2 linked regions of the Daphnia pulex genome follow. The protein of the gene in region 1 interacts with the protein of each later gene in a pairwise test. Links are inferred from orthologs where the notes say so. Each region holds a gene or a part of one and is shown in the gene's direction. Other genes may lie near its edges.

What was found.
Region 2: the proteins of exosome component 10-like (region 1) and exosome complex component RRP43-like interact in binary tests that used the Homo sapiens proteins (3 or more experiments, as listed by UniProt). The link is inferred for Daphnia pulex from reciprocal best matches to the Homo sapiens genes EXOSC10 and EXOSC8.

Annotation. Positions count from the first base shown.
Region 1 is NC_060022.1:1,682,367-1,686,852, reverse strand, and holds the start of exosome component 10-like, read left to right. Parts: upstream 1-1,665; 5' UTR 1,666-1,848; coding exon 1,849-1,899; intron 1,900-1,970; coding exon 1,971-2,107; intron 2,108-2,170; coding exon 2,171-2,282; intron 2,283-2,342; coding exon 2,343-2,453; intron 2,454-2,521; coding exon 2,522-2,890; intron 2,891-2,959; coding exon 2,960-3,103; intron 3,104-3,162; coding exon 3,163-4,486. Other genes in the region: transmembrane protein 98-like, read right to left, coding at 237-335, 444-635, 749-1,010, 1,080-1,249. UniProt on the Homo sapiens protein: Catalytic component of the RNA exosome complex which has 3'->5' exoribonuclease activity and participates in a multitude of cellular RNA processing and degradation events.
Region 2 is NC_060025.1:4,769,971-4,774,434, forward strand, and holds exosome complex component RRP43-like, read left to right. Parts: upstream 1-1,604; 5' UTR 1,605-1,740; intron 1,741-2,890; exon of another isoform or gene 2,891-2,969; 5' UTR 2,970-3,031; coding exon 3,032-3,048; intron 3,049-3,107; coding exon 3,108-3,282; intron 3,283-3,343; coding exon 3,344-3,638; intron 3,639-3,704; coding exon 3,705-3,825; intron 3,826-3,892; coding exon 3,893-3,996; intron 3,997-4,054; coding exon 4,055-4,173; 3' UTR 4,174-4,233; downstream 4,234-4,464. UniProt on the Homo sapiens protein: Non-catalytic component of the RNA exosome complex which has 3'->5' exoribonuclease activity and participates in a multitude of cellular RNA processing and degradation events.

The DNA of each region.
Region 1 (4,486 bases):
CAAAATAGTTTGGAACGAACTTTGATTGATAACGAGTGGTTACATTTAAAAAAGGAAAATACAAAAAGGATAGTTGAATCGTTAGAGCCATTAATAAAGGTACATTACTTGGTCAGACGTTATAATGAGTCCACTGTAACGAACATTGTGCATTTAGGTTAGTGAGGCTAATTTTGTTAAGATACGTTGTGATATTTTGGACGGAGATTACGAAGGTTTTCGAGATTATTCGTGTTTCAAGTCATGGATGATTCGACTATGGTCACACCTTCCCTGTAAAGATTTCGTTCGTTCCATAATTGAGTTTCAGAGCGCCGGGCGATGGCTTTGAGTTTCTGCAGTACAAATTAATGAAAAGTTAAGCAGATAGTATCGAGAACATTCAGAGCCAGTTCGCGTTTCCAAGCAAACAAGTCGTGTAGCATTTAAAAGATGCACGTTACCTGGTAATGCATATTCATCTCTTCGAAAATAGCTGATGGCCACGACACATTGCATGTTCGCTCGGTGAGTTTGCTCAAGCGGTTGACAGCATTCAAGAGGGCAAAGGCTCGGATTTCGACATCGCGTGGTTGAATGGGTGGGCACATGGAACGCAAGACGTCGTCAACTAATGGAAGGACAGATTTTGCAACCTAAAACACAACAGAACTTTCAGACACATAGTAATCTTTGGAGTGTCACAACTGAATTCCAACATAACAGAAATGCATGCAATTATTTTTCTTTTAGATAATGAGAGTTGTACCATTGCCAATTCAACAAATCTCTGTTGATCTGTAGAAGCCATAGCTGTAGTCACAAGCCTTTCACTCATCAAGTGACAGCCTTTTAAAATCTGAAGGCAATGAGGAACAATTCCAAGGGCATCGTCCACCCATTTCCATCTGTGAGATTCTAGAACTTTGTCCAAGTCAGGGTGAATCACTAAATCTTCAGGATCAATATTGTCCATGATGTAGTCTTCATCTTCCATCTCTAGGCTACTGATTAGATGAATATCAGACCTACTGGGAAATTCAAAAGCAAAATTACTCCCAACTGCGAAAGAAGTCTTTGTTCGTTTTTGAGATAGTTACCTCACATGGAATCCATTCTGCTGCACTTGTGGGCTTTGTTCCTTCTTCTTAAATTTAGAACCAAGATTAAAGCAACATAGTTTATATCTGCATATAAACAATAGCGCAAGGAGAGCAGCAATGAATACGGAAGTCAAAATCCCTCCAGTCACAACGACAACAGCGTGCATTGTTATGTGCTGAAAAAGAAAGCAATATAAGAAAATCTTTCGATCGTTTCAAGCGTCTGTCATATATTAGTTACCTTCGCAAAAACGACAAGTTTGGATGACACAGTGAACCTTTATAAGTACTCAATAACGAAAGTCCAAGTTAATAAACAACTAGTGCAAACATTTTTACGGCGGGATTAAAATTGTTATTATTTTATGGAAAAGAATGATGGTCAAGGCACTTGTTGATTTGTTATTTTCGGGGAACTTTTATAACGCCCTTGGCAGAATTTTAAAGCGCAATAGCATTTTCAAATGAATAAAAAATATTTAGTCGTGGGTTGAAAAATATTCTAAATTTACTAAATATTTTACTTGTTCATAGATATTCAATTAATTAAGTAATATAGATCCTTTTTAAGTTTAATAATAAATAAATCAACTGTTTAACTAACGGTGTATTACATGCATAATGTAGCAGACGACAAGTGGATTCTGAAAGCATGATTCTTTGGTCAACGGCGAGACTGAAACAAGGCGATTCACGTGCTTAATGTTTTCTGTGAATAATCGCAATAAGATTTTGTTGCAATTGATGATCAGAGAATATTTTTAAAATGAGTGAAAAAGAAAGTGAGAAGAATGGAAATGCCCAAGAGGTTCAACAGGTAGAGCATTGGCTGGCCAAACATTTTGAAATTTCATATCAGTCACAACTTGATTTTCTCTGTTTATTTAGAAATTATTTCAAAGTGCAATGAAGGTCACAAAGTACTCTAATGAATTACCAAGTAGTGGTTCAGACTGGGATTACTACCAAAGTTATCCAGCATATGCCAGCGCAATGAAAGAATTTGGTGGTCGCATTACTAACTTGTGAGTTACAGCTACCGTTAAGTATAAGAATTTTGTTTGATCCTAAAATTTTTATTTGTCAAGGATGACCACAATTTACGGACACTATGGACTAACAGGAAAGGTGGGAAAATTGGATTTGGAAGAGCAGATGGAGCTGGTGTCGGACAACAATGACATCTTGATGGAGCGAATAGTATGCTACTAGGAATTATTAGAATTTTACACCTGTTAAAAAAAACTGCTTTCGTTTCAGAATCTTTCTCTAGATGAAGCTGCTGGATTAAAAAAACAAGCAGAAACTGTAGTTGTTGAGATGATGGCAAAAACTACAAATATTAATGGCAGTTGGAATCGGCATTCTGTGGTATCTAGTTTTTCATACCAATTGTTGTCTTAGATGCTGAATCTATAAAGTATTCATCTTGTTTACAGAGTTCACCAGCAACCTCTTACAAACTTCTTTCTGCTAAAAACATTCTGAGACCACAGTTGAAATTCAAAGAGAAAATCAAGAATTCACCTGGACCGTTTATCCCCAAAATCAAAGATAAGCCTCATTCGTTGAAACCACTGGCGATACTATTAGAATTGAATGACTTGGGCGATGAAGAGTTTAGCCATCCGTACGAATTTGAATTGGAACGTTTTACACCGGATCCAAAGTTCTTCACCGTACTTGATGAAGTGCCTCCATTCCCAAGTGTTCAAGAAATCCCTTTGGTAATGATAGATACTGAAGAAGGTTTAAAAAGTCTTTTGAAAGTTTTGCTTGAGGAAACTGTGATTGCTGTAGATCTGGAGGTATTATTCACTGTCTAGCAGTTTTTAAATTGGTGAACCTTATTAAGTTCCTTAATTATTTATTGCCAGGCCCATTCATATAGATCCTTTCAAGGCCTAACATGCTTAATGCAAATTTCAACAAGCAGTTCTGACTACATTATAGACACTTTAGAGCTATGGGATCAACTACAGCCTTTAAATGAAGTTTTCTGCAACCCAAAGATTGTTAAGGTATGAGCTAACTGTTTAATTGAAGAAGTAACAAACTTATTTTGTTGGTTTTCGTTTAGATTTTTCATGGAGCTGATATGGATATTCAGTGGCTTCAGCGCGATTTCGGTATCTACGTCGTTAATCTTTTTGACACTTATCACGCTGCCAAATTATTGGGTTTTGCACAGCTGTCCTTGTCCTTCCTCCTTCGTCATTATTGCCAAGTTATTGCTGACAAACAATACCAGCTAGCCGATTGGCGAATTCGTCCCTTGCCTGAGCAAATGGTCAATTATGCTCGAGAAGATACCCACTACCTAGGATACATTTACGAAAAGATGAAAAAGGATTTGAAGATGAAGGGAACAGGAGATAATTTGCTGACAGCAGTTTGGCAAAACAGCCGACTGGTTTGTCTCAAACGTTACAGAATTCCCCCTATCACTGCCGAAAGTCACTTGGAATTGTATAGGCTCAGCAAGAAGATTTTCAACGAACGTCAGCTGTTTGCATTAAAAGAACTGTTTGCTTGGCGCGATCGAATAGCTCGAGAAGAAGACGAGAGCACTGGTTTTGTTCTACCCAAACACATGTTGTTACAAATCGCCGATGTTCTACCTAAGGAGATGCAAGGTATCCTTGCCTGTTGTTCACCTATCCCTTCGCTCGTTCGTCAGCATTTACTTCATCTCCATGGAATCATATTAAAAGCCAGAGAAATGCCTCTCGCCACTCTACAACATCACGGCCAGCCATTAGCCATCCCGAAAATGATGCCGACTCCATTGGATCAAGACACCGAAGACCCCCTTTATTGTATGCACGACTTGACACATTCTCAGGACATCCGAGACGACCTACCCACTCTGCTGAATCCGCAAACGATCGAATCAATGGCGTCAAGATCCGAGGAGTTTGGAGTCCGCGTCACTGTAAAAGAGTTCCCACAAGCTCTAATCTTCGCCGAATCGGCTCATTCTGGCATCGTGACAAATGTATCAACTAATTTTGTTTCTCCATACACGAGATATATTCGTGTCAGAGCTCTAAAGTCGGCCGAAGAAGCCGCAGAAGCACAACGTGTCGAAAAGTTGCGCCAACATTTCATGGAAGAAGTGGCGCATTCAACACCCGATGCCCAGCGTGAAGCGGAAGCGATGGAAGAAGAGGCGGAAGCAGTAGCAGTAGTTCCTGCGAAGAAAAAGAAGTTGGCGTTGAAAGCGCAGGGACTTAACAAGAAGAAGAAGAAAGTAGGGAGTACTAAACGAGTAACGGCTACTCCTGAAACATCTGTAATTCCATCAAACTCCAGCTCCCCATCGAAAAAGTCGGCGGATGCAGTAGTGCCGTCAGCATCCAAGAGCCCTAATCCAGCAACATCCAAGAGCCCCAATCCAGGAA
Region 2 (4,464 bases), on another chromosome or scaffold:
GTCGTGAATTGTAGCGTCTGCGCAGAATGAACAACACTCTAGTAAAAAGGTCAGCAATGCTCAATTTCTTTCGGTCGAAATCCTACGACGGCTTCAGTTCGATAGTTGGCACTGAGTCAAAGCGTTCCCGACAACTCGGTCGATACAATTGAAGATCATATCGTCGTTCAGCCAGCGTTCGGTCGTGACGGTGGCTGGAAGGAGACTAGTGGGAGAGCCAGTAACTGCCCCTTGTGTAACTCTCACAAAAACGGGTGTGTGTGTATCAAAGAGAGAGAGAGCCACCTGAAAGAAAAAAATGAATCGATTGGTTGTCCACCTAGTGGAGGACTTGGGTAGTTGACAAAACCTGTTTTAATCAAATCTTTGGCTGTCCAAAATGATGATGATAAGAAAGGTGTAAATAAATCAAATCAAATCGAGTTTGAGCTTGATCATTTATGGGTCGAAATAAAGCTCAACCATGACTAAAGCAATCGACGAAAGCTTTTGCGTTTTTAACTCGACCTTGGCAGCTTCTACTAACTCACTTTCTATAAAGTAAAGACGTCTTTGGTTCGGTAGCTATGTGCTGATTTTCTCTTTTATGAATTTTTTTTCCTCGGACGGCGAAGGTGTTGTTACATGCAAACTTAAAAAGAGCTAACGTCCCCGTCATCAATAAAGGGTTTTCTCAAGAACGACCATGAGGACTTTCCTGAATAACAGACAAAGAATGTCCTTGGGGTTCGATATGACTGAACACAGCAGACCTCGCCTATTCCACCCGAGGACGTTTAAAATTACATTTCGAAACCCTCCACCGAAAAATTTCAATTTCTACTCCATATTAATTCGCTAAGAGTATATATTAATCGGCCGGCGTATGCGACGGGAAATTTTATTTTAAGGCTGTTGCGGTACGCGCCTCATATTCTGAACAATAGCACTACACGCGTGTACTGTCGCGGGATTGCGAGAGATTCCATCCCTTGGATTTATTTTAAGAATGAACAGGCCAAGTGGATACAGTTCACTTTGAACTGTGGAATGTCACCTTTCCTAAGGTACTAAAACGGTACGCACGATTGAAAAATCATAACATCTAATGTTACTGATGGCATCTGTAGACATTAGTCCACAAATTGTTTTTTATTTCACGACATTTTTCCCTGACACCATTTTCACTCAAGCATTCTTTATGCACAAATTGTTTTGTAAAAAAATAAATAAGTAAAATAACTCCTGACTTGAGCTAGTTAACAGTTTACTAAATGAGGTACATAAATGAGGTTTTTGGATTTGAAAGGCAACCTACTAATTGTGCGATATGAACCGTTGTTGTACTGATTTTCGGTATTTTCCAAACTTTTTTACCTTTTGGGTTTTACGATATCAAGTTATCTTGTTCCCACAGAATTTACCGATTTTTTGCCGTCAGACAGAACTATTTCTGTCTACAACCCCATTACCATATTGATGCCAAAAAAGTTCATTAAATTCTAAAGGTGACCGGTATTTCGAGAGTCGAACGTTTTTTTCTATATATTTAGGAAAAATATCCTTCAAGTGTTATCTGCTGATTTTCTGCCAATCGGTTTTATTTAATCTCGCAAACAGGAAACAGCAGCAAACAGGAAGCAACTAAGCAAGTAAGCAACACACACTTTTTAATTTCTGACAACGTTGCTTGGCCATGCTTTTAGATTTTACGTCGTCTGCTACCTACTATTATTGTTTGAACCTTTGAAATTCAATTTGGTAGTGATGTTTCGTTAACGATAACGGATAACGTGAAAAGTCCGTTAACGGACCTTTTTTGGGGTTCGTTAACTTAACGGATAACGCTAACGTTTGGCATTTTTCAGACGTTATTTTCAGACGTTATTTTTGTTTTTAACAGCGCTGCCAAATATGAAATTTTTGGATTTTTCAAAATGAAATTTGTATTTTTTGCGCGCTTCCAACATTTTACTGTAGTAGGTTGACTATGAAAACGAATTTAAATAGCCAATGACAGTGAGCAGTAGTCTTCTTAGCTTCTCTGAGGTTTTTTTTTGCTTTCAAAACGTGGCAAACGAAACTGTATAAGTAGAGTAGGGAAACAACTAGAATCAGAGTGTAAATCTTTAATGTCAGATTCAGACTCTGATGCTCCTGTTGACGGTGAATAAGCGTGGCATCTGCGATGTTAGAAGATCTCGAAAGAAGATTTAATTTCATGACAGATTAAAGAGATCCTGATTTCGACTGCTCCTACCTTCTAGCCACTTCCCTCGACTGCATTGAAACTGAACTTTTAGACAACTTCCACTTTGCAAGTCATGAATTTGATCCTTCTAAGGATCCACCAGTTCAAGATGTGATCTCTTACTGGAAGGATTTGTCTGGTCGTTTCCCCTAATTATCCAAAATGGCCTATAATTTACTGGTTATACCAGTTTCTTCGGCATCATCTGAACGCGAATTTTCCATTGCCGGATGGCACTGTCTAGGACACAAAAATAGGACGGCGGAAGAAGTTTTGGCCGCAAAAGTCTTCCTCACTTGCAATAAGGATTTATTGAGGCCTTTACTTTTTTAGTTGGAACTTGTTTTTTTTTCTTTTGTCTGTGCGTTTATTTAATCCGCAGTTTCTGTTTTTTTTAGTTGATCATTGCTTCATTGTGACATTGTTCAACGCCAGCAGCAATTTAAATATAAGTAATCAAGACCGTGACTGATTTCAGTGATTTGATAGTGCAATTTTTTTATTAAATAACGGTAAAAATAACGTCGAATTTTCGTTAACGGAGACATTTTTAACGGCGTTAATTAACGGCGTTAACGAACGTGAAAAAATTGGACATCGTTAACTTAACGGATAACGCTAACGTTTAGAAAAAGCACTAACGAAACATCACTACAATTTGGTAATGAATTATTTCACTTACGTCAGTGTAAACTCAGTACTCCAAAACTAATATATGTTCTGTTTAATTACAATTTAGTGTTTCCGATTACGCATCACGTCACTGTATGCGTTGATTCTATTTCCAATACAAATTTAAACATGGCAACTGACCACAAGTAAGTCATGTTTTATGAAGTTTTTTTGCGGGCACTTTGATATCAACCTCTTAATTCAGAACACTGCAACCATTGGAATTTTACAAGACTTTCCTTGATCGCAAGTCACGCCCAGACGGTCGGAAACTGCTGGAATTCAGAAAAATGACTCTAAATGCTGGTTCCATAGGAACAGCTGATGGCTCAGCTATTGTCAAATGTGGAAATACTACTGTCATTTGTGGCATCAAAGCTGTAAAACACTCATAACTATTTTTTTCAAAAACTATTATCAACAATAATCTATCAAATCCAGGAACTAGCTGCTCCAGAAAGAGAGGAGCCTTCTAAAGGCTTCATCATCCCAAATGTGACACTGCCATCCTTATGTTCTTCACAAATAAAATCTGGCCCTCCTGGAGAAACAGCTCAAGCTGCTACCCAGTTTATAGCTGAATTAGTCAATAACAATATTATTATGGACTTGGAAACATTGTGCATAAAGGTTTCAAAATGGGCTTGGGTTCTTCATTGTGATCTACTCTGCATTAACCTTGATGGGAGTTTACTAGATGCTTGTGTGATGGCATTAGTAGCTGCACTGAAAAATTGTAATTCTATTCTAAAGTTTTATGTTTTATTTTCTATAATCTAATTCATTCACTGATTCATTACAGTGAAACTTCCCATTGTGAGTTATGATGAGGAGATGGACAAACTAGTTTCCAACCCAAATGAAAAAATGAGTTTTGACACAATTAAGCAGCCAGTTACATCAACATTCTCCTTATTTGATAAGTATGTGCTTAAAAAAAAAACATGAAGAAACTTCTATGAAATCATGATTTCTCATTATTTTGAACAGTGGTATTTTGATCAGTGATCCTACATTTGAAGAGGAGCAGTTGGCTGCTGGATTAACATCTATTACCATGGAGGGTACTTCAGTTACACATATGTATAAGCCAGGTAAAAAAATTTCTATGATGTTCTTAAATTTGGACATAACCTTCCCTTGACTTTACAGGAGGATGTACTTTAGATGAGAAACAGGTGAAAAAACTTATTCAGCAATCAGAATTGAAAACAAAGGAGGTTGCAAGATTGATTGAAGAGGCTTGTTCATCATCTATTGCTGAACGATGAAATTGTTCGTCATTCCTTGTTTGGTATTGAAAATAATACAGTTTCAAATGTCAGTTTCAATTCAAAGTTTTCTCAATCTAAATTTTTTACTTCATGATTAAAAACATTCAACTACTTTCAATTTTACGTAACCGATGTATTTAACTCGCGTGAGCTATCATCACAGGAATGATTCATACAACATGTTAATAATAATCCTGGAGGCACTAGCCGAAACAAGTAATTAACAGTATTAAAAAAATCGATACCAAGTAGAATATATAAATAGCCTGCATTAACCAACAGATAAGG